Coturnix japonica: one gene and its partners. The protein of the gene in region 3 purifies or fractionates together with the protein of the main gene of each other region. This does not show direct contact. Links are inferred from orthologs where the notes say so. Each region holds a gene or a part of one and is shown on either strand. Other genes may lie near its edges.

Region 1 (8,122 bases), about 15 Mb from region 3:
CTCTTAAACTAACCGTAACAGATGCACTGTTCCCAAGCCAAAGGATTGATTATACCAAAGGGTAGTATGCCCCAACTGAAGAAAAAATATCCTGTTCTTTGTTCACACACTGATACACAAACAATGAGAAACAGGAATGGAATCTAATATACGGCCTATAGCTGTATTCAATTAAACACAAGAAATGCATTTTAAATAATTATTATCTCCTTCAGAGTTTATTCAGCCACAGTTCAATATATCACCTGTTTCAGAAAATTTAAGAAATAACACTATGGGAAAAGTGCAAAAGAAAAGAAACTCGCAGTGGGAAGCGAGATGAACCAAAATTATCTTTTGCTTGGAGGTCATTGTTACAAAACACCACTCGCTTTTTAGCCAGATTACGTACTAGATTTGTCTCAAATACCCTCCTCCCCTATATATTTGGGTTTTTTTCCCCAAATATTGCCACAGTATTTAACTTTCAGGCATCTTCGAAACTGAACATCACTTGACACATCTTGCTATAAGGCATCTTAACTCCACTTGGAACAATATAAAACTAACTTTATGAGGTGTAAAATGAGAAACAGCAGCAATTATTTCACGTAGCGTTTAAACGTTGAGTACATTAGAAGAAGAACAACAATTGCTAACAACTGAAATATTAACGTTGTGATTCTTTGTAAAATGAGGAGCTTATTCCCTTCTTAATGGAAAACGCTGTTCTATTCAGCACCAAAATAGTCTACGCTAAATACACACACTGTATAAGAGCAGAAATGTGTTTTCAAGTGTGAGACAACAGCCTGTACTGACAGCAGCAATTCCATCACCACTCCCAGCTAACATACAACCTGTAGCTTCTTTTCAAGTGAGGAGGAGTTAAATGTCACCCACAATGACTCATATGCACTAACTACCTAATTCCCCATACACACTTTACCTGGAAGTTGGAGGGGAAATATACAGGAACGTGATGTCAGTAACAGAAATAAACAGAACTTGGTAAGCAACAGTTCCTTGCTTATAAAAACAAGAGCATTAAAAGAAACAAAAGGGACTTTATTAAAGCTGTTGTAAAGCTGTCTCATTTGTAATTTAAAATTACTCTATTTTTAAAAGTCTTGGGATTTGTAAAAGCACTTCTCCATATGTTTTAGATTATACATTTGGCTTCATAACATATCTTAACCATTTTTTCCCTGTTGAAGACTTACAAGAAGTCTTAATAGAGCTCATCACATATATGATGAATGTAGAGCTACATTCTTGATTCTGCGGGTTAACTCATTTGAAGTACACCCAAAACAGCTTCTTCAAGTGTCCCCTTTATTCCTGCCAGCACACCACCAGGATTTTCCCATACCGATCCCAAATAAAGCATGCATTTTGGGGCCTACTAACTTAGGAAATACTTAAGAAGTTGTACCAGTTATAATTAAAACTACATCTGAAAATAACTTCTGAGGAGCCTCATGAAGCAGGCGGGAATTGCGTTTTAATGGTGACAATAAAGACCCCTAACATTAGTCACAGAATCACAAAATGACCCGGGTTGGAAGGGACCTCAAGGATCATGTAGTTTCCAACCCCCTGCCTGGCAGGTGCCACAACAGACATACCACCTTTACTAGATCAGGTTGCCCAGGCCCCGTCCAAACCTGGCCTTGAACACCTCCAAGGACGAGGCAATCCACACCTCCCTGGGCAGCCTGTTCCAGGCCTAACCACTCTCTAGTGAAGAACTTCCCCTAACATCCAACCCTAGATCTTCCCTCCTTTCTCACACTAAACTTAAAACCATTTCCCCGTGTCCTGCTATTGTCAGCAATAGCATAGTACAACAACTTATCACACTGTAAATAAAACACCAAAACAGCATCCATTCCCTCTATCAAATACACAACCAGTGCAATAACCCAGATGAATCAGCAGATTTGTGAAAGGAGGTGGACAGAATAGTCCAAACGCTGACAATGTCATCTATATTTTACACCTATTATAAAATATAGCACTCAAACGTCACAACATTTTGAAAGCAGCAGTCATTTTGATTGAATTAATCCTGCAATCCAAGACTTAGCAAACTCCTGGTAAAAAGCTAAGCTGGATTTCAGTGCTTTTCTACAGCATTCACAGCCCAGACCATCCCAATGAATGGGATGCATACAGTGTAACACATACAAGATACATACAGCGTAAACACTGACCTTAAGCTGCTGCTTTCTCCATTCAACAACATGGTAAAACTTAGTGGTGAGAAAGCACATTGGGTTCAGAGCCTTCCGTAGGGAAAGCTGCTAGTAATTAAAATAAACATTTCATATTACATCTCATCATCCTTTTCTTAAACCCCTGTTTTTATTTTCACACACTATACATCAAGACCTACTGTGTAGGTCTGACAATCTGACAATTCACCTCCTCAAACTAATATATCTATTAACTTCAATCTGCCTTAAGTCTTTATAAATTTATAATCACATTGGGACTGGAAGTTTTCTAACTGCCACCACAAGACCCATTTTAGACACAGCAATACTTGGATCATTGTACATATGCTGGTAGGACTCAGGTGTCAGAAGGCCTGAGGAAGACTTGGTACATCTCCACTACAGAAGTAAATGGCAATGTCAGGTGGGCTGCCAGCATATGTGACCCAAGACCAACAAGGTTACCAGCTGTGGCTGTAGTTATTATTAGCCAAACCTCTCCTTTACCAGTCAGGTTTGCTGATGGTTTATGTCGGTGTAGTTATATCCACATCAGAACAACACTGCTGGCATGTGAAGTGCTGACAGACCGACTCCACACACTGCAGTGCCTGGCTCCGTGCTTGTGTTCTGCTAAATACAGAATCACAGAATTGTAGGGGTTGGAAGGGAGACTCTAGAGATCATCGAGTCCAACCCCCCTGCCAAAGCAGGCTCCCTACACCACGTCACACAGGTCGGCGTCCAGGCAGGTCTTGAATATCTCCAGAGAAGGAGACTCCACCACCTCCCTGGGCAGCCTGTTCCAGTGCTCCGTCACCCTCACTGTAAAGAAGTTCTTCCTCACATTCGTGCGGAACTTCCTATGCTGTACTTTCATCCCATTACCCCTAGTCCTGTCCCCACGCACTACTGAAAAGAGACCAGTCTCGCCACTATGGCTCCCACACCTCAGGTATTTATAAACCTGCATCAGGTCCCCTCTCAGCCTTCTTTTCTCAAGGCTAAATAGACCCAGTTCCCTAAGTCTCTCCTCATAGGGGAGATGCTCCAGGCCCTTCACCATCTTTGTGGCCCTCTGCTGGACTATTTCCAAGAGATCCCTGTTTTTTTTGTACTGGGGAGCCCAGAACTGGACACAATATTCCAGATGAGGCCTCACCAGGGCAGAATAGAGGGGGAGGATCACCTCCTTTGACCTGCTGGACACGCTCTTTTTAATACACCCCAGTATGCCATTGGCTTTTTTGGCTACAAGGGCACACTGCTGGCTCATGGTTAATCTGTCATCCACCAGGACACCCAGGTCCCTCTCAGCAGAGCTCCTCTCCAGCAGGTCTTCCCCCAGCCTGTACTGGTGCATGCAATTATTTCTACCCAGGTGCAAGACTCTACACTTGCTTTTGTCAAAATACAGCTATCCAGGTGCAACAAAATGTGGGAAAGATCCCCAAATCAAACTATTCTCAGCACTAAGCAGCCAGCATACAAGCCTACAGGTAAAAGGAAACGTGATCACAAACAGCCTAGGACATGAGACAAGAGACACAGACCACACTCCACTGTAGTGCGTTCACACAGAAGTGGACATAAACTGCACTTCCAAGTCATTAACACTGCACAGGTTCTGAAAACCAGCAGCTGTTCAGGATGGCCAGAGCTGCAACTGAGTGTTTTGCCTTGATGCAGCACAAGCATCCCATATAGTGCAGTAATGCCCTGCAATCTATACACCGCTCAGTGTAAAGCTGATTGATTGTGAAATATTATCCTTTATTGGACTGAGTGAAGTTTATACAACAGTTTCAGTTTCCATTTCCTTCCTCGTATAATATTCACTCTGGTAAATCTGTACCTGCAGAAAGTCAGCACATACAACTAATATGTATAACAAGAAATTCTGTTGAATTTCCATGAAGAAATCAGTAGGTTTAACAAAGGATACATCAACTGTTTATTTTCAGAAGAGGAAACATGCTCTATAAGTAACGCTATTAGCAAGTTGATGCTAAAAGCTGCCAAGTGCCCGAAGCTTATTGTCAAGGGCCAGGGCATGTTCTGCCAATTCCTACTTCAACCAGGCAACATTGATGGTATTTATGATTCATGTAATGCAACTGTAGGTGGTCTAATGAACAGAACTGCCTTCAGATAAGATGATTCAGGTGAGAAGCTGCACTTCAATGCCATTCTGTTGAACATTCTCGGTACTAAAAGATGTGAGATGCCTGAAGAAAACTCTGTCATGACTTTAATGTCACACACTGAAGTACTTCTGTTGCCTTCCAAACTTACTGCCAAACCCTACAAGAGAACTGAACTCGCTTATAGTGCACAGTAACAACAGCTTTTGTTGCTCCCATGAAGACTGAAATAACACTGAAAACAGCAAAAAGAGATGTAACAATGATAACACAGGGAACTAGTATTGTAGCAGTGCATTAGAGCGTCCCTGACACATCAGGCCTTTCTCTCTCACTCCTTGCGCCCAACCATTCAGCTGGGGCAAGGCAGTCAAACCAAAATAAACCACTCTGCTTCTTCTCCATCCATAAAAGCCAGCAGCCATCAAACTGCTGCTGTATGGAAACCTGAGAGAGCAAAGCTCCAGCTGCAGCGACCTGACAAGCTCCAGCCGTGCGGGTGAAGCCTTCCCCAGTAACATGCGCTGACCTGGGCCGTGTTAAGGCCGCTGCCCCGGCTCTGGGCCCATGAGCCTGGGAGGGGGAGAGTGGTGTGAAGGGAAGGGAAATAAATAAGAGAACAGAGGCAGGGAGATAAACGCATCATCAGGAAGGGAGGATTTGGGCTCCGTGGTAGACCTTAGTCATAGCTGCTCCCATTTTATTATTTTTTTTTAAAGGCCCAACGGTAAAAATAACAACAGAGGACAAGCCAAGCGGACGTAAACACGGAGACAAGACAAGAGGCGTCTCTTACCTTCCTACTCGCTCCTCCAAGAGACACCTTGGGCCTTGTTTTGAAATCGCCTTCAAAGCTGAACATGTTTACAGCTTATCCCATCTAGAGAGGCGCCCGGCCCGGAGCGGACACCGCCACCAGCGCCGAGCGGAGGGATCTCCAAGGGATCTCCAAGGGATCTCCAAGGGATCTCCAAGGGATCTACAAGGGATCTCCACGGCCCCGGGTAGCCGCTCCCCCCCAGGCTGGCACCCCGCAGCCGGCGAACCCCGCGCCGCTCCCCCCCCGTCCCCTCTCCCCGCCCCGCGGCCTTCTCTCCCCCGGTCGCCCCCCTCCTGACCGGCTGCCGCGGCTGCGCGTAGTGGGAGGGAGAATAAGGAGGAGGGAAGGAGAGGAGGAGGGGGCTGGAGGGGCTGCTTTACTTGCACTTGGGGGAGCAGCCGGCGGTTGAGAGAAGATGGCCGCCGCCTGCAGCTTCCCACGCGCGCTCCCGACGACAGGAGCGTGCGCGCACCGCCCGCAACCGATGGGGCCGCGCCGCCCCTCAGTTCCCTAAGGTGGGATGGAGAAACCTGGAGCTGCTGAAGGGAACTTACACCCAGGAGGGGAGTAAACTCTTGGAAAGGGCTGATAATAGCAGGACAGGGGGAAATGGTTTTAAGTTGAAAGAGGGAAGATTTAGGTTGGATGTTAGGGGGAAGTTCTTCACTAGGAGAGTGGTTAGGTCTGGAACAGGCTGCCCAGGGAGGTTGTGGATGCCCCGTCCTTGGAGGTGTTCAAGACCAGGTTGGACGGGGCCCTGGGCAACCTGATCTAGTAAATGTGTATGTTTGGTGGCCCTGCCAGGCAGGGGGGTTGGAATTACATGATCCTTGAGGTCCCTTCCAACCCGGCTCATTCTGTGAAACACCAGTACTTCTAAATTCATCCGTCCTTTCTGTAGAATGAGCTTGTGGCTGCTGTTACCCCCTTTGCAAAGTCCAAGTCTGAAAACTCACCAGAGAAACAGTCCTGAGTGAGTGGGGCTGGGGCCTCACCAGGCCGGCAGCTGTCACCTCATATCAGCACACCTTGGGGTGAAACTACACCCCAGGCTCTTTATGTCACATTCCTCAGCCCGACCGACCGCCATTTCTTGGTGTCCTTTCAGACACAGACGTGATAGGGATGAAAGCAATAACAAAAAGCATTTATTCACTCTGCAGCTATGAGGTGTTAAGTGAATCTATGTGCTCCACTCCTGCTTTCATTTCCTTTAGTGGAAATGTGAGTTCTCACATCGCTGCATCCCAAGTAATGGCAAGGATCCGTGAGGTAAGGCTGTGTGGAAATCCAGGCCTGCATCAGTCTCCAAGCTAAGAAACAATTCATTGATATTTCTTCTAATTTTGATGATTTCAAAGCATCTAGATTTTAACATATCAGTCTTTTAATGGCACAAGTGCTTGGCAAGGCTGTATATGAGCTGTGCTTTTCCTGAGATAACAGTTTCGGTATGAGCAAGTCTGGCCTATAAATACTGTTTACTGGTGCAGCTGAGGTTTAGAGCGTTGTGAAATACCGTGTCAAGTGTTGATTCACAGTTGAAACACTCTGTATTGCTGATGTAATGTCACACCACTGCTGGGCAGTTTGGCACCAAGAAAATGGAATACTCTACATAAGGAGGGTTTCTGTACAATGGATCTGGGACAAATACACGTCTGGCAGGGACCAGCTTCAATGTTAGAAAGCCACAAGATCCTCTGCTGACTCAGGATGCTCCCTGCTGAAGAAGCAGCTGGTAACTGACCCAACTGATGGATGTTTGCCTGAGGAATGATTTGTGTGTGCCCCTAGAGGCCACACTAGGTGTCATTTTATTAAACAAGGATAACTTAGGATAAACTGAGGTTTTGTATTTTGAATACAGTGAATTTAAGGAGGCATACAGGAAACTAAACCTGTTTTCTCTTTTAATTTAATGCAAAATATATGTTTACATTACCAGTGGAGAAGACAGGTGAGTAGTCAGAAAACGCTTCTTCAAGAAGTCAGTGTGGGGACTGCTTTCATATTCTCAGGGAGCATCAAGAGCAAGGTTCCTTGAAAATGAGTGGGCGCAGGTTTGATCCAAGGACAGGCAATGCCCTCACCATGCCAGGACATAATCTTACAGGATTCAAAATAGCAGGCAGAACCCAATCAGTGGTTACAGAATCCACTGGCAGCCCCAGACATGGTGAGAGGGAGAGTCCAGAATGCCCAACCACAAGTAGCCAGAAACAAGAGATGGGCCCAAGGTTCAACCAAGAAACAGAGTTAGAGATAACTCTCCTAGGCTGTTCCTGATGCAAGGAGTGAGTGGGACTTCCAGCTGAAGCTGATCAGGACAATTAAGTCCTCTTAGTGCATTCAGAGCATTGACAAACAAATACCTCAGATGGATGCCTGTGTTAACATCTACATGCCTCTCCTGCTGCAATGAAGTTAGCTTCATGTGCAGTTTCCCATCTTTCCCATTTCCTTTCTTAATGCACATTCCATGAGGCTTTTTTTCTTTCCTTCTTACAGTTTTATGACCTTTGATTGTTCCTTTTCCTCTTTGCATGTATATGCACACATTGCTTCCAGGTACAACTTGCCTGCAGAAGTCCAGTTGTTCACCAGACGGCAAACTGTTAAAAATCTTCTGTTACTCAAAATTGTCTTAATTCCTCTGAGCCTTATTGATCTTTTCTGCCTCTTATTTGAAAGCAGGTATTTGGGCTATTCAGTTTGAATATGTGAGAATCACTGATGACAAGTATTCCATTTTCAAGTTCCCTTTTCTTCTTCAGTGTTGTTGGATTTATTACCCTCACCATGATCTAAGAATCACTTTCTCTAAGTACATACATACATACAAAATATCTCTAAATAATATATCTCTAACTATATAATGCTGTAAAGCACCTTTCATGCATCTGTATTTAGTGCAGTGTAGATAAGTCACTGCAACTGAGGAACTTCAGTATCTAAAG
Region 2 (7,476 bases), on a different chromosome or scaffold from region 3:
GCATTTCAAGTCCATGAACAAATACTTGCTATGAATTATGTTCCAAGGTATTTGACATGAATAGAAAAGTTAAACTACCTACAGTGTTATGTTATGGAGTCTTGCAAACAAAGTTACTTTACAGCGACATAATCATGTATTACACAATGCTAACTGAACTTACATCAAACAGTTACTTTCTTATCAGCAAAGTTAATCAAGAGGCAGCACAGCTCTTTCAACCACTTTCATCAAAAAAAACAGTTTGACAGTCATCATTCACCAAACCTTCTGTGAAAATGCCTGAAAAGTTACCAGACTTTCAGCAGAAACAGTCAACCTGTATTCTCTTTATTGTTTTGCATGCAAAGAACTTCACATATTAAATAACTGTTCAGGGCAGCGAGCCTAACAAATCTAGAAACCCAGGCAGATATTACTACCTTTTTCCTACCTGGAAACCCTTCCCATCCTAACCACGTTCTTCGTCACTGAATTCCTGTACCAAATTTGCCTTGTCCCCCCTTGAAGCCCAGAAATACCTTTCCAAGCAGCCTTTTGTATCAGCATAGAACAGACAACAGAAAGGTTCGTATGTGGCTACACCCTGATGGTACAGGGAGAGAGAAATGCTAAGCAGGACAAACACATGAAAAGCAGACTCCATGGAGTAGTAATGCTGCTGACATGCACTGTATTAACTGGGGGAGTTACACTAAGCCCAGTCCTGAACAAGCAAGCCTATATAAGATCATCTACCTCACAGCACTCCATCTCCATGGCACCAAAAATCCACAATTGTTTGAGAAGGCAGAAAGTCTGGTATGAAGGAACACATTTCACCTACTTTAAAGGAAAAAGGCATCCTTCATTTTGGGAACAACTACACATGAGGAAAAGAATGGGTGGAAATAAGCACAGAACTACACTTGTACTGTTAATCACTGGGATAATTTTCTTGACTATAGCTGTATGATTCTGTGTTTTGGATTTGCGATGATGCAATTTAGGGTACGTGTCAGGAGGGAATTCTTTATTCAGAGGGCAGCAAGGCCCCAGAACAGCTGCTCAGAAAAGCTGAGGGTACCCCAACCCCGGAGGAGCTCAAGGCCAGGCTGGATGGGGGCCCTGGGCATCCTGAGCTAGTGGGGGGCACCCCAGCCATGGCACAGGGTTGGGTGGGTGTTAAGGCATCTTCCAAGCCAGTCTGTTCTGTGACTCCACCACATTGTAGAATGGCCTGAGTTGAAAAGGACCACAGAGATCATCACATTTCAATCCCCCTTCTATGTGCGGGGTTGCCCACCATCAGACCAGGCTGCCCAGAGGCACATCCAGCCTGGTCCTGGATGCCTCCAGGGATGGGGCATCCACAACCTCCTTGGGCAACCTGTTCCAGGGCTTCACCACCCTCTGTTTCACAAAAACTTCCTCCTAATATCTAACATAAACCTCCCCGTCTCAATTTAAAACCATTCCCCCTAGTCTTATCACTATCCACCCTTGTAAACTGTCATACCCTCTCCTGTTTATACATTCCCTTCAAGTATTGCAGCAATGATCTTATGAACGTGTGTTAACCTTCTGGAATTACTGGTTGACTTTACATATTCTCAGGAAAGTGTCGTCACTACTGTCTGTATCCAGACCAATCAGTGAATGTTTGTATAAACCTCAAGTCTGTCCTTGAATGGAAACACTATGGAAACTAGCCTAACCAAATTTACTTAGAGACAATTTACTATTTTGAATATTGTCTCAATTCTTAAATACAACGTTGAAATATTACTATCAAAAAAACAAACAATCCACCATACAAACCTAGACTATATGTGATGGTAATCAGTAAGGTATATGCACCCCCTTTACACATCTATACAAGCACGGTATCAATAAACATAAACTTAAATTTGGAATATAAACATCACTTGAACTGTGAAAAGGGCATTTTTTTGCCTTACTGTGGGCAGATCTGCTCACAGTTTAACCAAACAGAGTGGCTTACTAGCAGACAACATTCACCACAGGTGTGTGTAATAATCATATCAGGCACAGTCCAAGAAGCATACACATTTTTGGACAACGAGGGTTGTAAAGAATTAAATAGCTGGATGACTGACAGAAAATCTAATTAACAGGTTAAGAAAACCTTTGGTCAAAACCAGATTTGAATCTAAATATCTCCTAAACACAAGTCTGAAGTAAAATAAATAAATAAATAAAAATTTTTAGAAGTGTGTTTTAGAATTGAAATCTCCTTCTACAAACACAGCTCAAGGATATAGGACAATATATGATTGAGAAACTAAGCCATAAAAATTGAATAGCTTGTTAAATGATCCCACTTGCTGTCAGTGATTCTCCAGTTCTCATCTCCAGAACAGCTACATTAACTACACTTGACCTTTCCTTTCCAGCCGCTTATAGGCTTTTTTCTTGGTGCTGATTCTTCAAACCACAATAATTGTGTGCACTTAAGAGCTCAACATCCTAAAGCTACCCTGCAGATCATTTGGAGGCTGTTAAACTAGGAGATCAAAGAACCGCGTTATCAGTGGAACAATACTAACTGAAGAAAACATTTTCCTGATGCAGCAGATTGGTCATGAACATATTTAGATAGACCAAAAAACTGTCTAAAAGTTCAGTAGCACCAATAGCATTTTTCTAACAGAAAAAAAAAGAGTCTGTATACTAATGTTCTCTGAGAACAAGATTACTTCTCACCACTCCTTTCTCCAGCTGACAGAAAAATGAAAACATATTTTCAGAAGAGAATGACAAAAAATAGAAGGGAGAGCACATATGCAAGAGGAAGACCCACAAGCCTAATGAGCAAGAAATTAACTACTCAGGACAGAATCGATCTGTTTGATGAACAAACGTGCCACCTGTTAAACTACCTCCTGGATAATCTATTTTTATTTTTTTCCTCAACACAAATGAGCTAAAGCAGGGAAATATTATTCCGACTGCAAAAGTACTACAGGCTGTACATGACTGGGGAACATACACCAAACGCAGCACTTCAAAGGGGCACTGGATTTATGTACAAACTAAACGCACAGTGAGCAGACAGTAAAACCAACACTTTCCAAGGCATGAAAGATAAATATTTGAGATTTCCAGATTAATGACAGCTGGGTTGGAACTACTCCATTTGCCCTCAGGGTATCAAGAATTCAAAGCCTTTGTTTGCTCCCATTCCAGATGAGAGTTTAACTTTTTACATTCATGTACTAAAAACATTTGTTGCTCATTTAGAAACTACAGGATCTTGGGATCAATTGTGTGAATAGCAACCGTGCCAGTGACTGCTAGTTGTACACACTAACAAAAAATTTTGTTTACAAAAACAAAACTTTGCAGCTGGAGGTCAGTTTTCTTATCAAGTCTCTCAGAAATTCTGTTCTCATACTCTGCAGGGACTAGTTCAAGACAGCTGGCTTTAAAATGAGATGTAATTTAAAAAGCAACAACAACAAAGACAACAACAAAAAACCCTAAAATAACTTACAAGATTTCCATTAAAGTGAAGTTACTATTTTATTACCTCTCAAGTCAATCAAGTTCATTTCACTTTTGAAACTGTGTTTTTGACAAGGGAAACTGTTTCTTGTCCAGAACACTGCATAAGTAAAGCATTTGTTAATAAAAATTTACAAGTCCTTCTGTTTGGAAAACTCATTAGTATGATTGTTGTGTACAACCAGTAGTAATGATGAACAGGAATTTCTAAAGTGTTACCTTGGTGTGATGTTATGCACACTAACAAAACAGCATTATCACTAAGATGTCACAACAACCACTGCTTGGGTTGGTCACTAGCAATTAAGAGCTTCCAATGAAACTGGGTGTGCCTAACACATATAACCACAAAAAAATCAACAGAATATAAGCAAAGCAAGAGATGTAGCTAACAGCAACTTCAGTATTTCCCGTAGCACACGATCAAAACAATATTCAAAATAACAGGTAAATAAAATACAAAGTTCTTCAATGAAGACGAGAGAACGGAGTATACATGACAAACTGCTCACCATTAAAAGGTATTCCACTGCTCTGTCTGGATTGTTGAAGCTGGCTCTCAGCGCTGCAATTACTTGCTCACGTTCATAGCCGATGGACATGATTTCAGTCACCATATTCTCATAGGACTGACCTGTCACTAGAAGTAACATTTTGACCATTGTAAATGAATAAGGTACCAAAAAAAAAAAAAAAAGCTTAAAAAGCTTCAATGGAGAAGTGTCACTTCTATTCAAATTTGAGTAATTCACTGAAGCGTAAACACTGATATCAACCTCACCATGGTTCTATCAAAACATGTTCTGATAGTTTCATTATGCATTTGGTTGGAATAGCAGAGTTCTAGGATAATGAACACACTACAAACTTCCACTGAAAAAAGCAGCACATGTGACAATTCCAACTTCATAACTGAGATACCCTTCCCTTTCTATGCTTTTCCCTAAGCTCAACAATGTCATTAAAACTAATATTCAATTCCTAACATAATTATGAAAAGTCTCCTGCAGTCTAAGTTCAGAAATTAAGCTTTTTAGGCAGAAACCTGCTTGTCAGACTATATTAGCCATTGATGTTTTTTCCTAAGAAGTACTTTATACTAAGCTATGGTTAGAAAGGCGACAAAGTTATGATCAAGTTATAATTGTCTATTAACTATGAGCTGGTGACAACAATCAAAGTAATTTAACCAACTTAACTTGGAGCAACTGAAGTCAAGCAGAAGACTAAAGTTATATCTAAGAGAATCTCAAGACTTCAGTGAGGATTAAGTTATCACAATGTATTTTTGACTAAACATCTATCACACTAAGCTCCCGATCTTGTCTGGGTGCAAACATACTAAACCTGGCTCATGCCTGCAGATATCAAGACAAAGTTAAAAAATACTGCATATGGAACAGTTTCAGGGCAGTTCATTATACAATTGGTTTAGAAATAAATAAAATTAAGTATACATAAACTGCTTCATTTACTTCTGTTAAAAACAGACAAGGTTTAAAAAAACCCTCTGAAACAAAAAGGAAAAAACTATTCTATTCTGAATTGTAATTGAGCAACATTTTAAGGGAGACTTCCCACAGAGAGTCAAAAGGAAAAACTAAAAAATATATTTAAGAGTAGAACAGCACTACCTCAAAGACACTTGTGCATTACACATAAATAATGATTTAACATCTATTGGCTAGTGTGAGTACCCACTGTTCAGACTTCAAAACAGAAGATTTAACCAACTTAAACAAAGGTACATACATGTCTTTACATATAGCCATTATTTTACATACTCATTTCCTTAAAATAAGCAATCATGAAAACTTTGCCTTAAAAATTATATATTATTGTACATATCTTCAAAAAGCAAAAAAGCCAAAACTGTTCCAATACAGTAGTTTATTTATCAACTTTCTGCTCGTATTTTCCCATCCACCAACAGTTTATTCTTACTACTGATCATGGACTTATGAAGATAAACAGCACACAGAATACCTTTTCATTTAATTAGTTAATGCTTAAACATTTCTGTAGTGCTTTTCTCAATAAAAGCTTGGTAGAGACCAGAGCAGTGATAGATTTTGTACAGAAAAAAGAAGGAAGAAGGAAACAGAAGTACTGTGAATCTAAGCACATGTACTCCATACACAGTCTATTTAAACAGTATAATAACATGAGACCAACAGCAGTAGTTCAGGAATTGCACACCAGCAGTACCATCATACAGCCAGGACTCTCTCTAAATAATGTTAGCTAAGATTGTTTGTGAGAGTGCAGCTGGGTGTGCTTGCCTGTTGGCCACAACTGCATGTGCTGGGGTGTAAATCAGTGCAGTCCAGGGTACACATTAGCTCTCTCTGCTTTTTAATAACACACATCCCAGGCCAGATTTCGTAGGATCACAGAATGAAATTGAAAGAGACCTTAAAGTCCATCACCAGACAAATCTGCCCACAGCCACATCCAACCTGGTGGTGAGTGCCTCCAGGGATGGGGCACCCACAGCTTCTTTGGGCTGCCTATTCCAGCACCTCAAAACAAAAGCAATTCAGTAGAAAACAATGTCTGTTTTTAAGTGAAGTCTATTATGCTCCTACAGGGTAACTGAAAAGCAACAGTATGAACATGACTACGATCCCATTTAGGATGCAAAAACATACTCTATTAAATCAAGTAAGCAAATTCCTTTTAAAATAATTTCTGAATTAAAAGAGTTTATGCTTATTGCCTTTAGAAATAGAACTTGGCAGCATTCTGCTCTGGAAGACTACATTCAGTGTCTTGTGCTTCCAAATGTTAGGGTCATGTGTTTACTATACCAGAAAGAATTTTCACATAAAATAGATATGGATGGTGGTCCTCTTCTCCTGCACTAAAGAAGTCTTTTCATCAGTTTTGTAGGCATCTGTATCAAGACAATCAGTTTAATTTAGATAACTGGTCATTATTGTTAACTGGAGTATTTATAATGACCAGATCTCTGTCATTAAGCAATAATTAATAGTTAAGGAAGCTTGCAGCACCTCTGGTACTTTAAAAAGGCAACAGAAGTAGACCAACTGTTTCCTACAGTACCTTGTTAGCTATTTCAGTTCATGCAGTTCTTCAGTCTACTCTAGCACATCATAATATAAAACCCTAAACAGACTAAACCTTGTGTTACTAACAAAGGTTAAACATTTCTTGCCTTTAGAATACCTAAGGCTGTTTAGTCACAACACCTGCTTCTAATGCATCCAAATATTTCTACACAAAAATGTATGTGAAAGATATTTTGGTTTAACATTTTATTCTAAGATACAGGTTAATGTTCACAAAGACAACACAAGTCCATTTCCCTCTTTATTTCTGCGTGCTAACTTGCTACACTCAAAAAAACTCCTTACAAAAATTTAAGTAGGGGTACTGTTTACCTAATAATTTCCTAAGTACCAAAATAAGCACAAGAGAAGTTTAGAAATTCCTGCTGATTTTATTCTGTTTAATCCACTGAGAAACATAGACATTTCAACCATCAAATAAAAGTAAACTGAACATTAGTATATGGAGACATTTACTGCTCAACCCAGACAGCAGCAGCCTGACTGCATTCATCCACTATGACAGATTCAAAGTAGATTCTCTGACAGCACTGTCGAAGTAGAACAAGTGAATACTAAAAGCAGCCATTCCATACAACCTGCTCACTAGGAAGCAAAGGGAAAAACAAAAGCATATATATGTATATATTTCACATCTACTGTTTTATCCCTGCCAATTCAAACTGGACGGTTAAAAGAGAAATTAAAGAAAGTATTAAAAAAACTAGGAGTGATAAGGATCTTCCTCTTACACAACAAAAATATATGAAGTGATATAATCTTCAGTAAGAATTCTTGATGCTGGTTCTAAGATATTAACTTCAACTCAGAAAAGTGTACTTCGATCATAACTTTAGCAATGACAGATATAGAAGAGACTGTCAACATCTGCTAATCC
Region 3 (7,941 bases):
TCCGTGAACTCTGACAAGTTTATGGCAGTTTGGCAGAGGCTGAACATATGACTCAGGCTAAGATTAAAAACTTTATTTTCCATACAAAACAATAATAAATCCAAGCAGATAATGAACTAAGAGTCTTCTCATTTTCCACCTTTTCTCAATATAGTCTATCCAAAGTTCAGTGTTACACCGCTCCATATCAGCAAAAGCTATGAAGTTTCCATCTTGTATCCATGTTTTTCTAATTCAGCCCTGTATAAAAAATAAAGATACGCATATTAAAACACAAATATTGTCACATCTTTTCAAAATGCAAATTGCACAACATATGATCATTCTATTAACAGTGAACAAAACACGCTGCTTTCTTGCCCATGTCAGTCATCTCAATTTTACTTATAGTTCTTCATGTAAGCATCTCAGGATCACTATAGTATTTCCCATGTGAAAAATACAAATATTTGCTTTAACCACACTTATTTGTCCCCTGACCTGCTGTGGTTGGTTGAAATGTATCTCCCCTATGAGGAGAGATTTAGGGAACTGGGTCTGTTTAGCCTTGAGAAAAGAAGGCTGAGAGGGGACTTGATCCAGGTTTATAAATACCTGAGGTGTGGGAGCCACAGTGGTGAGTCTGGTCTCTTTTCAGTAGTGCTTGGGGACAGGACTAGGGGTAATGGGATGAAAGTACAGCATAGGAAGTTCCACATGAATGTGCGCAAGAACTTCTTTACGGTGAGGGTGACGGAGCACTGGAACAGGCTACCCAGGGAGGTGGTGGAGTCTCCTTCTCTGGAGATATTCAAGACCCCCCTGGATGCCAACCTGTGTGATGTGGTGTAGGGAGCCTGCTTTGGCAGGGGGGTTGGACTCGATGATCTCTAGAGGTCCCTTCCAACCCCTACAATTCTGTGATTCTGTGAATGACCTGGGTTGAAAAGGACCACAATGATCATCTAGTTTCAACCCCCCTGCTGTGTGCAGGGTCGCCAACCACCAGAGCAGACTATATGGTGTAAAGCAGCACCAGTAAACCAGCAACAACCCATTGGAAGAAAAAACACAACACCAACTACACTGTTATCTCATACTGATTATTCTCAGCGTTTCCTAAAACTCAATGAGCTGACTGATCTGAGTGATTTAAACGCACATACTTAAAAATATATAGTTCATAAAATACATTCATATCATGTTTAAATCTTGGTGCAATCCAATACAACAATTGCAAGGAAAATGTATTGCTTTATTCACATCAGTTGTTGCTGGGACAACAGGACAGCAAATGCCCAGAGTTACTGCTCCTAACCCAACCCCAGACAGCTTCTTACCTATCTGCCTCCAACATATCGGAAAGAACTACGCTGTTTTATAGCCTAGTCCTAGCATGTATCTCTACACAGCAGCCTAAACCTCAGGTTAGTTTACACAGTGTTGGAATTCAAGAAGTGGAGAAGTGCACCACTTTCTTTCTGAAGATGAAATAAAAACATGCTGCAACAAAGCAACATTGCAAACTATCATTTTAAGGCAAGTGTAAGGACGCCAACAGTATAAGCTATAATTAGGACATACATTGAAGGCCTGTTGTCATCAACTATATTTGTCAAAAATTATACCATCCCTGTATTTCATTGTATATCAGCATTACATTTCCAACATTACAGTTCAACTACCTTCCAACCTTGTAAGCAAGGACTATAACAACAAACTGGTTCTGTATCTGCTACACAAAGGGTCACTTTCTCCCTTTACAAAAGAGATCATCCCAGGAACCGTTAATCAGTCCCTACTGCAGACATTTACTCTGCATGCAACATAATGAAGGTCTAATTATAAAACGTGAATTTGTGTTGACTCTTGAAACAATTTAGATTACAATTACACGAGTAAATCATTAACTGAAATGACAAGTGACCAAGAGGATTACACAAGTGGATTAGAGGTACCCAAATTATTAGCACTTTTTTAAAGCACTTTGCAAATATTTACTCTGTCCTTGCTGCTCATTGCACAGAAGAAGGGAACATGAAATGGTTATAAGTTAAAAGAGGGAAGATTTAGGTTGGATGTTAGGGGGAAGTTCTTCACTAGGAGAGTGGTTAGGTCCTGGAACAGGCTGCCCAGGGAGGTTGTGGATGCCCCGTCCTTGGAGGTGTTCAAGGCCAGGTTGGACGGGGCCCTGGGCAACCTGATCTAGTAAAGGTGTATGTTTGGTGGCCCTGCCAGGCAGGGGGGTTGGAACTACATGATCCTTGAGGTCCCTTCCAACCCAGGTCATTCTGTGATTCTGTGATGAACAAATATGGAGAAGTTTTCCACCGATCACCTGTCTATCTGGTCAAAGCACAGCAATGCTATTTTGAAGGTACAGAAAATGTTTTTACCAACACACTTTGCTTACCATATAGCAAAGCACAGAGAATCCTGGCTCCCTTGCCATTAATCTCTGTTGTACATTTCAGCAGATTTCCAAGTATCTGATACTAATAACTAAGCAATGCAGTTATAAACATTTTATCCAGCTTCTAGAATACCAAGTTAAAAACTAAAATTACCTTAACTGATTGGAGAAATCATCTTCTACGTTGTCATCATCCCAATTGTCTTCCCAGACATGTGCATCTTCATCTTCGTCTAAACCAGTCCAATCTAAAGACAGGAAGAGAAGGCTACATAGCATACGTTGCTCTGCTTTGGTACCACATCTTAGTGATCTCTGGGTAGGGCAGACTTCAAACGATAAGGAATTTCTCACCTTTCTATTCAAGTCTGGATCATTCTCAAGTGTTCATGAGACCAAACAGCGCAGTGAGATTAATTAAAAACAACAACAAATGAATCTCCTGATTTATACAGGAGAACATACAGTTCACTCACATCACGCACTGACAGTCTGTGGATAAATGCCACAAACGTATCTGTGATGCAGCAGCAAAGGCAAAGTGAAAGATGCACCTGCCAACAGCAGTCGATACCAATAACCTACTTCCCTCTCAGTTGTCTGCCTGAGTTCAGGGAAAGCTTTGAGAACAAAGGGCCAAAGTAACATTAAACATGGACATGTATGAAAAAACCTTGTAGGGCAAAAGATTAAGAACTAGTTCATTTTCTTTACAAAAAGAAAAGTTGGTTCTTGCATTTTTCTTCTCCTTTTAATGCTGACAGGCAACAAGATGAGCATCTGAGATTCACCAGGAAAGAAAATCCATTTGTAACTGATTAAAGACACAGATGGAGTTACCATTAAACTCCTCAAATTATATAAAGGGAAAAAAAATACGAAGGAATGTAGAAATTCTACTGGTCTTAAAGAAAGAAAAAAAATGGGGCAGATGAGGAAACACTGCAGTATGAAACAATACATTATTTGAATGTAGTTGTACCACTCACTGGCTAAAGGGAGGGATTTTAATTGAGTACAATCTACAATAAGCTTTGCCAATTTGTGGGCAACTGACATTTTTTTCCAACGCAAAAATTTAACCATTCATGTGACTATTTGGATTGATCCAAAAAGCCTCAACCAGTATCGAAGTTAAATTCTATCTACTAATGTAAAATAGCTCAAAATGGTTTCCAAAAACCCACAACTCACATTCATCACAACAAATTCAGCTGCAATCACAGAAGCTGGGGATGCTGGAAGAGTGTTTCAAACATCACTGAGTAAAGAAGAAGCAAAAAGGCCACATTGCCTTCCTCAGCAGAAAGGAGAAAGGGAGGGAGGGAAAGAAAAGAGGAAGTAAAGCTGAAATTATTCTCTCCCTGCTGCAGCTACAAGATTCTACAATGTACAATTCTGCAATCTGTGTGTTGACACCACACGCCAGAATTATATACTCCAACTATTCCAGCTCTACCACATGCCTGTGAGTAACAGTAAAAAACAATAGTGTTATCTGGGATTGGAAATGCAAAGAACATCGGAGAGCCTGCTACTACTAAGTACTGCTACTATACACCAAAATCAACATCTATTTGATAAGCTTCTCATGAATAGACTCCTTAAAAAGTATCTGAATATAATGTATCTCCCCATATTTGTCACCTGAGACAGGACAACAAAGTGCTCTCTGGAGTAGATAATAACAAAGCAGGCAGTCCTAACCTTCTTTATGACCTCTCAACATTATTATCTCACTTGAAGATTTCATTGGGCCTCTTTAACAAGGTACAGCAGCAGGAAGTCAGGCCATGGCCAGTCTTCAATAAAAGACTGTTCCACCCAGAATTACAGTGTACCTCCACTCGGTTTTTCTCAGCTTTAGGAGCACAGATAGATTTAAGTAGAATTAATTTTACCTTCCTCGGTTTGGATACAGATGCACGCTGAGTCTAACAAGCAGTTAATTGAGTTTGATTTGCTAGTAGACCCATTTCCTCCAGTCTCAAGCACAGTTTTACAGTTTAAGGTCTGCTTGACTGTACAAAGGACTTTTTCTCAGGGTGGTGGCAGGGGAACATGAAGACCAACCCCAGGTTCAGATGCATGCTTTAAGACTTCCTTTGTCCTTACAGTTAATACTTATATTAAATTACAGTATTTTTTTTTAACCCTTTTAAGAAATATATGGAAAAGAAAGCAGAAGGGCTCATCTTCTCTGTCTGCTTTAGGTCTTATCCCTACTATGTGCAAACATAATGTTGGTACAAGTACTGCAAGACTCTGCATCCCTACGGGCCATATAAAGCCACTGTGAAATCACCTCTGAGGAAAACAGGATAGAAAAACAACCCCAGCCATTCCATCCATGTTGTATATAATTTACCACCATTCACAACTCGAGACAGCTGCCAGAACTGGGGGTAGAGAACCAAACAGGGTCCTCCCAAAGTCCACAGCTGTGACAGGCCCTCGGGCTGCTTTGCTGAGGCCCAGACTCCTGCAGCCCCCTCCCTCGATGTATCCTGTACCTACAAAAAGCAAACTAACGCACTTCTGTGCTTGCACAGACGATAATTTGAGCACCTACTGCACGCGTTGCTCCCTTCCCACACAACAACGCAGCTCCCACCCCCCACCTACCCCTCCCACCCGGACACGGCGGGGCGCTCCCGTACGATGACACAGCAGCGCCGTGCAGCACAGCCCTTCCTGCCTGGCCACCGGGCAACGGGGACCCGGGGACTCCATGCGTGGAGGCAGCGGGCACGGCGATGTCCCCGCGGGGCTCTGTGTGGCACGGCACGGTACAGCACGGTACATGGCCGGCCTGGCCCGGCGCGGCCTTCTGGCAGGCGGCGCGGCCTACAGACAGCATGGCCCCCGCCGCTCCGTTTTCCCCATCCCGCCCCTCCCGACCCGCTGGGCACCTTCAGCCGGAAACTCCTCGAACTCGTCGTCCTCCTCCAGGAGCCCCAAATCCACCGGTTGCTTTTTCTCCGACATGCTCGACCCCGCTGCCCGCCGACACTGACGGGATGGCGGCACGGCACGGCGCGGCCCACACTGCGCCTGCGCATCAGCGCCGGCCGCCCTTCCCTCAGCACCGCCTCCCGCACCGCCCTCACAGCGTCCCCACATCGGCGGCACCTGCTGGGCCGCCCCGTGCGGTTCGGACTATTAGATATCCTTCTCTATCCATAGAGAACAAGGCGATGTCCCGTACCAAAAGCTTATAGAGGTCTGTGACCATCCAGCTACTACCCTCTAGGCTTTCCCTTACACAGAGTTGATTTTGCAGCATGCTCAGGAGTTTAAAGATGCTCAGCTGCACCCAGGTTATCTAAGAGAAAAGAACTGACTGCCATACCGTGCCATATCGTGTTTGTGTTCTTAACATAAACCTGTCCTACGCTGCCTGAAGGACCCGTTCTGTACAGCATTCTACAAACCAGACCTTACAAGAAGAGGTCCTAAGGGTTGGATGATGTGAGTGGCATCCCATACTCTGAACAGCCAGACTGTACAGAAGACAAGCAGAAAGCACTTCTCCTCCTGCAGCCAAGTGTTAGAAAAAGAAAACAGCATTTTCACATGCTGAAATTTCACATTTTCTTAAGGTTTCTTACTGGCGTTCTTGGGTCACTTCCTACTCAGTCTTTAGGCCTTGTATATCCCATACCTTACCATCCCTAGGAAGCATATAAAGAATTTCCACATCCTTCTCCACTGAGAAAAACCATCTCTGAATTCCGTGAAGGATGTAGTTGGTAATACTCAAGCCTTTTGGTTGACCTAGCTCCACTGATGTCTCTGAATTCTTTAGAGAAAAGGATTTAAGGATTCAACCATCCAGAATAAGTTTTCCACAGTGAAAGCATATTTAAAAGGTTAGAGGAGAGTGCCCATGACTCAAGTACAATTGGCGTTTGATGGTTTCTAGACCATCAAGAGTAAGAGTTGCCTTTCAGCATATACCCTGTGCAATCAGAGTGGAAAAAGGCCACTGATATCTAATCAGGACATGCTGCCACTGTGGTTTTTTTTATCCTTCCTTTGCTGCAGCACCAGGGCCACTTGCAGTCCTTACAGTCACCGGGCTTGTATCCCACATGGATTGCAGCCACAGAACAAGAAATAGTTTTGATCGTGTTGAGAAGACACTTCCTGCATTCCCAGAACACAGTAAGAGATTTGCTGTTCTGAAACTGTACAGTAACTTGGTTGTATAATGAGTAGGACCAACAGCCTGGCATTCCTGAGTGCTTCAGCAGATAGGTCTACACTCTGTTCCATGGTAATTAAAGGAAAGACATCCTTTAACTCTCAGTGGTTCAGGATATGACCATCCCAATGAAAACCTTAACTTGAATACACCCTTCTCTGGTAGCATGTTGGAATTGATTGAACAAGACAATCCAGAGTAACTCATAAATCCCTCTATTATTTTTTTTTTCCAGAGCTGCACGGCAGCTATTTACTCAGTTATTTTTCTTTAATTTCTTTATATTCAACATGTTTTATGCATTAGTATTAGAAAAGGCTGTCTTCCTCTTGGCAAATGTTACTGCAAGTTGTCTAGCACGGAGGTGAGATTATGTAGATTTATTTATTCAGAATTTAATTTGCATACATGAAAAATGGAAGTAGAGCTTTTTATTTTCTTCACAGTAAAACAAAAATGTGTTTAGTGCAATAGTTCAGACTGCTAAATTTTTTTGTTCAGGTGGACAAGTAGTCATTTCAGTGCCTGGGCCCATCTTCTTTGAACTGGATGTGCTAATGGCTGAGGGCATATTCCAAGGAAAAGATGAAGAGAAAATAGATCAGTTTGTTAATGAATTTGCTTATAAGCTGCCTTAGTTAAAAGTGTCCTGTTGAAAAGGAATTTCAGAGGCATATTAAGGACTTCAGACACCCTGGATAAACCGTTGTCTTGGAGGTCTACGTAGTCTCAGGCTATCAGGCAGTGTCTACTAAGAGAAACTTAATACTGCAAGAGAATGCTCATTGTGAGCATGTGATCCAGCTGATCTCATGGGCATAATGTGGAATCCATGTGCATGGGCACTGCCTAGAGCACCAGCTGAGCCCACACAGCGCCTCTGGATGCAAGAGGTGGACGCCTCTCTGAGCCTAACAGTGCAGGCTAGTAGATATCAAGGAAAGCAGTCAGTTCCAAGAGAATATGGAAGATCTCGCTACCACATGCTTCTCATTCAGAATGCAAGAATTCACCATGCAATACAGAATATCTATCCTGCATTAGGCAGCACATCCAGCAGCTCAAGCAATAGTTACTTCATCCTCCAGAACTGACGTTTTCCATCTCAAGATAACACTGCAATTCATGCTATAACTTTCTGGATTAAACTGGGGAAGAAAAGCATATCCCACATTCAGCATATCTGGACATCAGGAATGGATTGCCCCACTTCTTTCAGTCTAACTGTGCAGCGCTGTTCCCAAGATCAGCACCCTTGGTTTGCTGCTATTTATTTGTTCATGTCTGCAGTGGTTCTTTCTTTCTCTCCAGCTGCTCCATCATTCACCGGCACCTCCTGGTA

The links.
Region 1: the proteins of SEM1 (region 3) and UBE3C purify together in Homo sapiens (affinity purification with western blotting; 3 studies listed by BioGRID and IntAct, with this or other methods). This does not show direct contact. The link is inferred for Coturnix japonica from reciprocal best matches to the Homo sapiens genes SEM1 and UBE3C.
Region 2: the proteins of SEM1 (region 3) and RAD23B purify together in Homo sapiens (co-immunoprecipitation; 3 studies listed by BioGRID and IntAct, with this or other methods). This does not show direct contact. The link is inferred for Coturnix japonica from reciprocal best matches to the Homo sapiens genes SEM1 and RAD23B.

What each region holds. Positions count from the first base shown.
Region 1 is NC_029517.1:7,651,071-7,659,192, reverse strand, and holds the start of UBE3C (ubiquitin-protein ligase E3C), read right to left. Parts: upstream 5,409-8,122; 5' UTR 5,205-5,408; coding exon 5,139-5,204; intron 1-5,138. UniProt on the Homo sapiens protein: E3 ubiquitin-protein ligase that specifically catalyzes 'Lys-29'- and 'Lys-48'-linked polyubiquitin chains.
Region 2 is NC_029547.1:49,512,936-49,520,411, reverse strand, and holds part of RAD23B (UV excision repair protein RAD23 homolog B), read right to left. Parts: intron 4,148-7,476; coding exon 4,020-4,147; intron 1-4,019. UniProt on the Homo sapiens protein: Multiubiquitin chain receptor involved in modulation of proteasomal degradation. Binds to polyubiquitin chains.
Region 3 is NC_029517.1:22,205,608-22,213,548, forward strand, and holds SEM1 (26S proteasome complex subunit SEM1), read right to left. Parts: upstream 5,464-7,941; 5' UTR 5,381-5,463; coding exon 5,305-5,380; intron 2,641-5,304; coding exon 2,547-2,640; intron 241-2,546; coding exon 198-240; 3' UTR 53-197; downstream 1-52. UniProt on the Homo sapiens protein: Component of the 26S proteasome, a multiprotein complex involved in the ATP-dependent degradation of ubiquitinated proteins.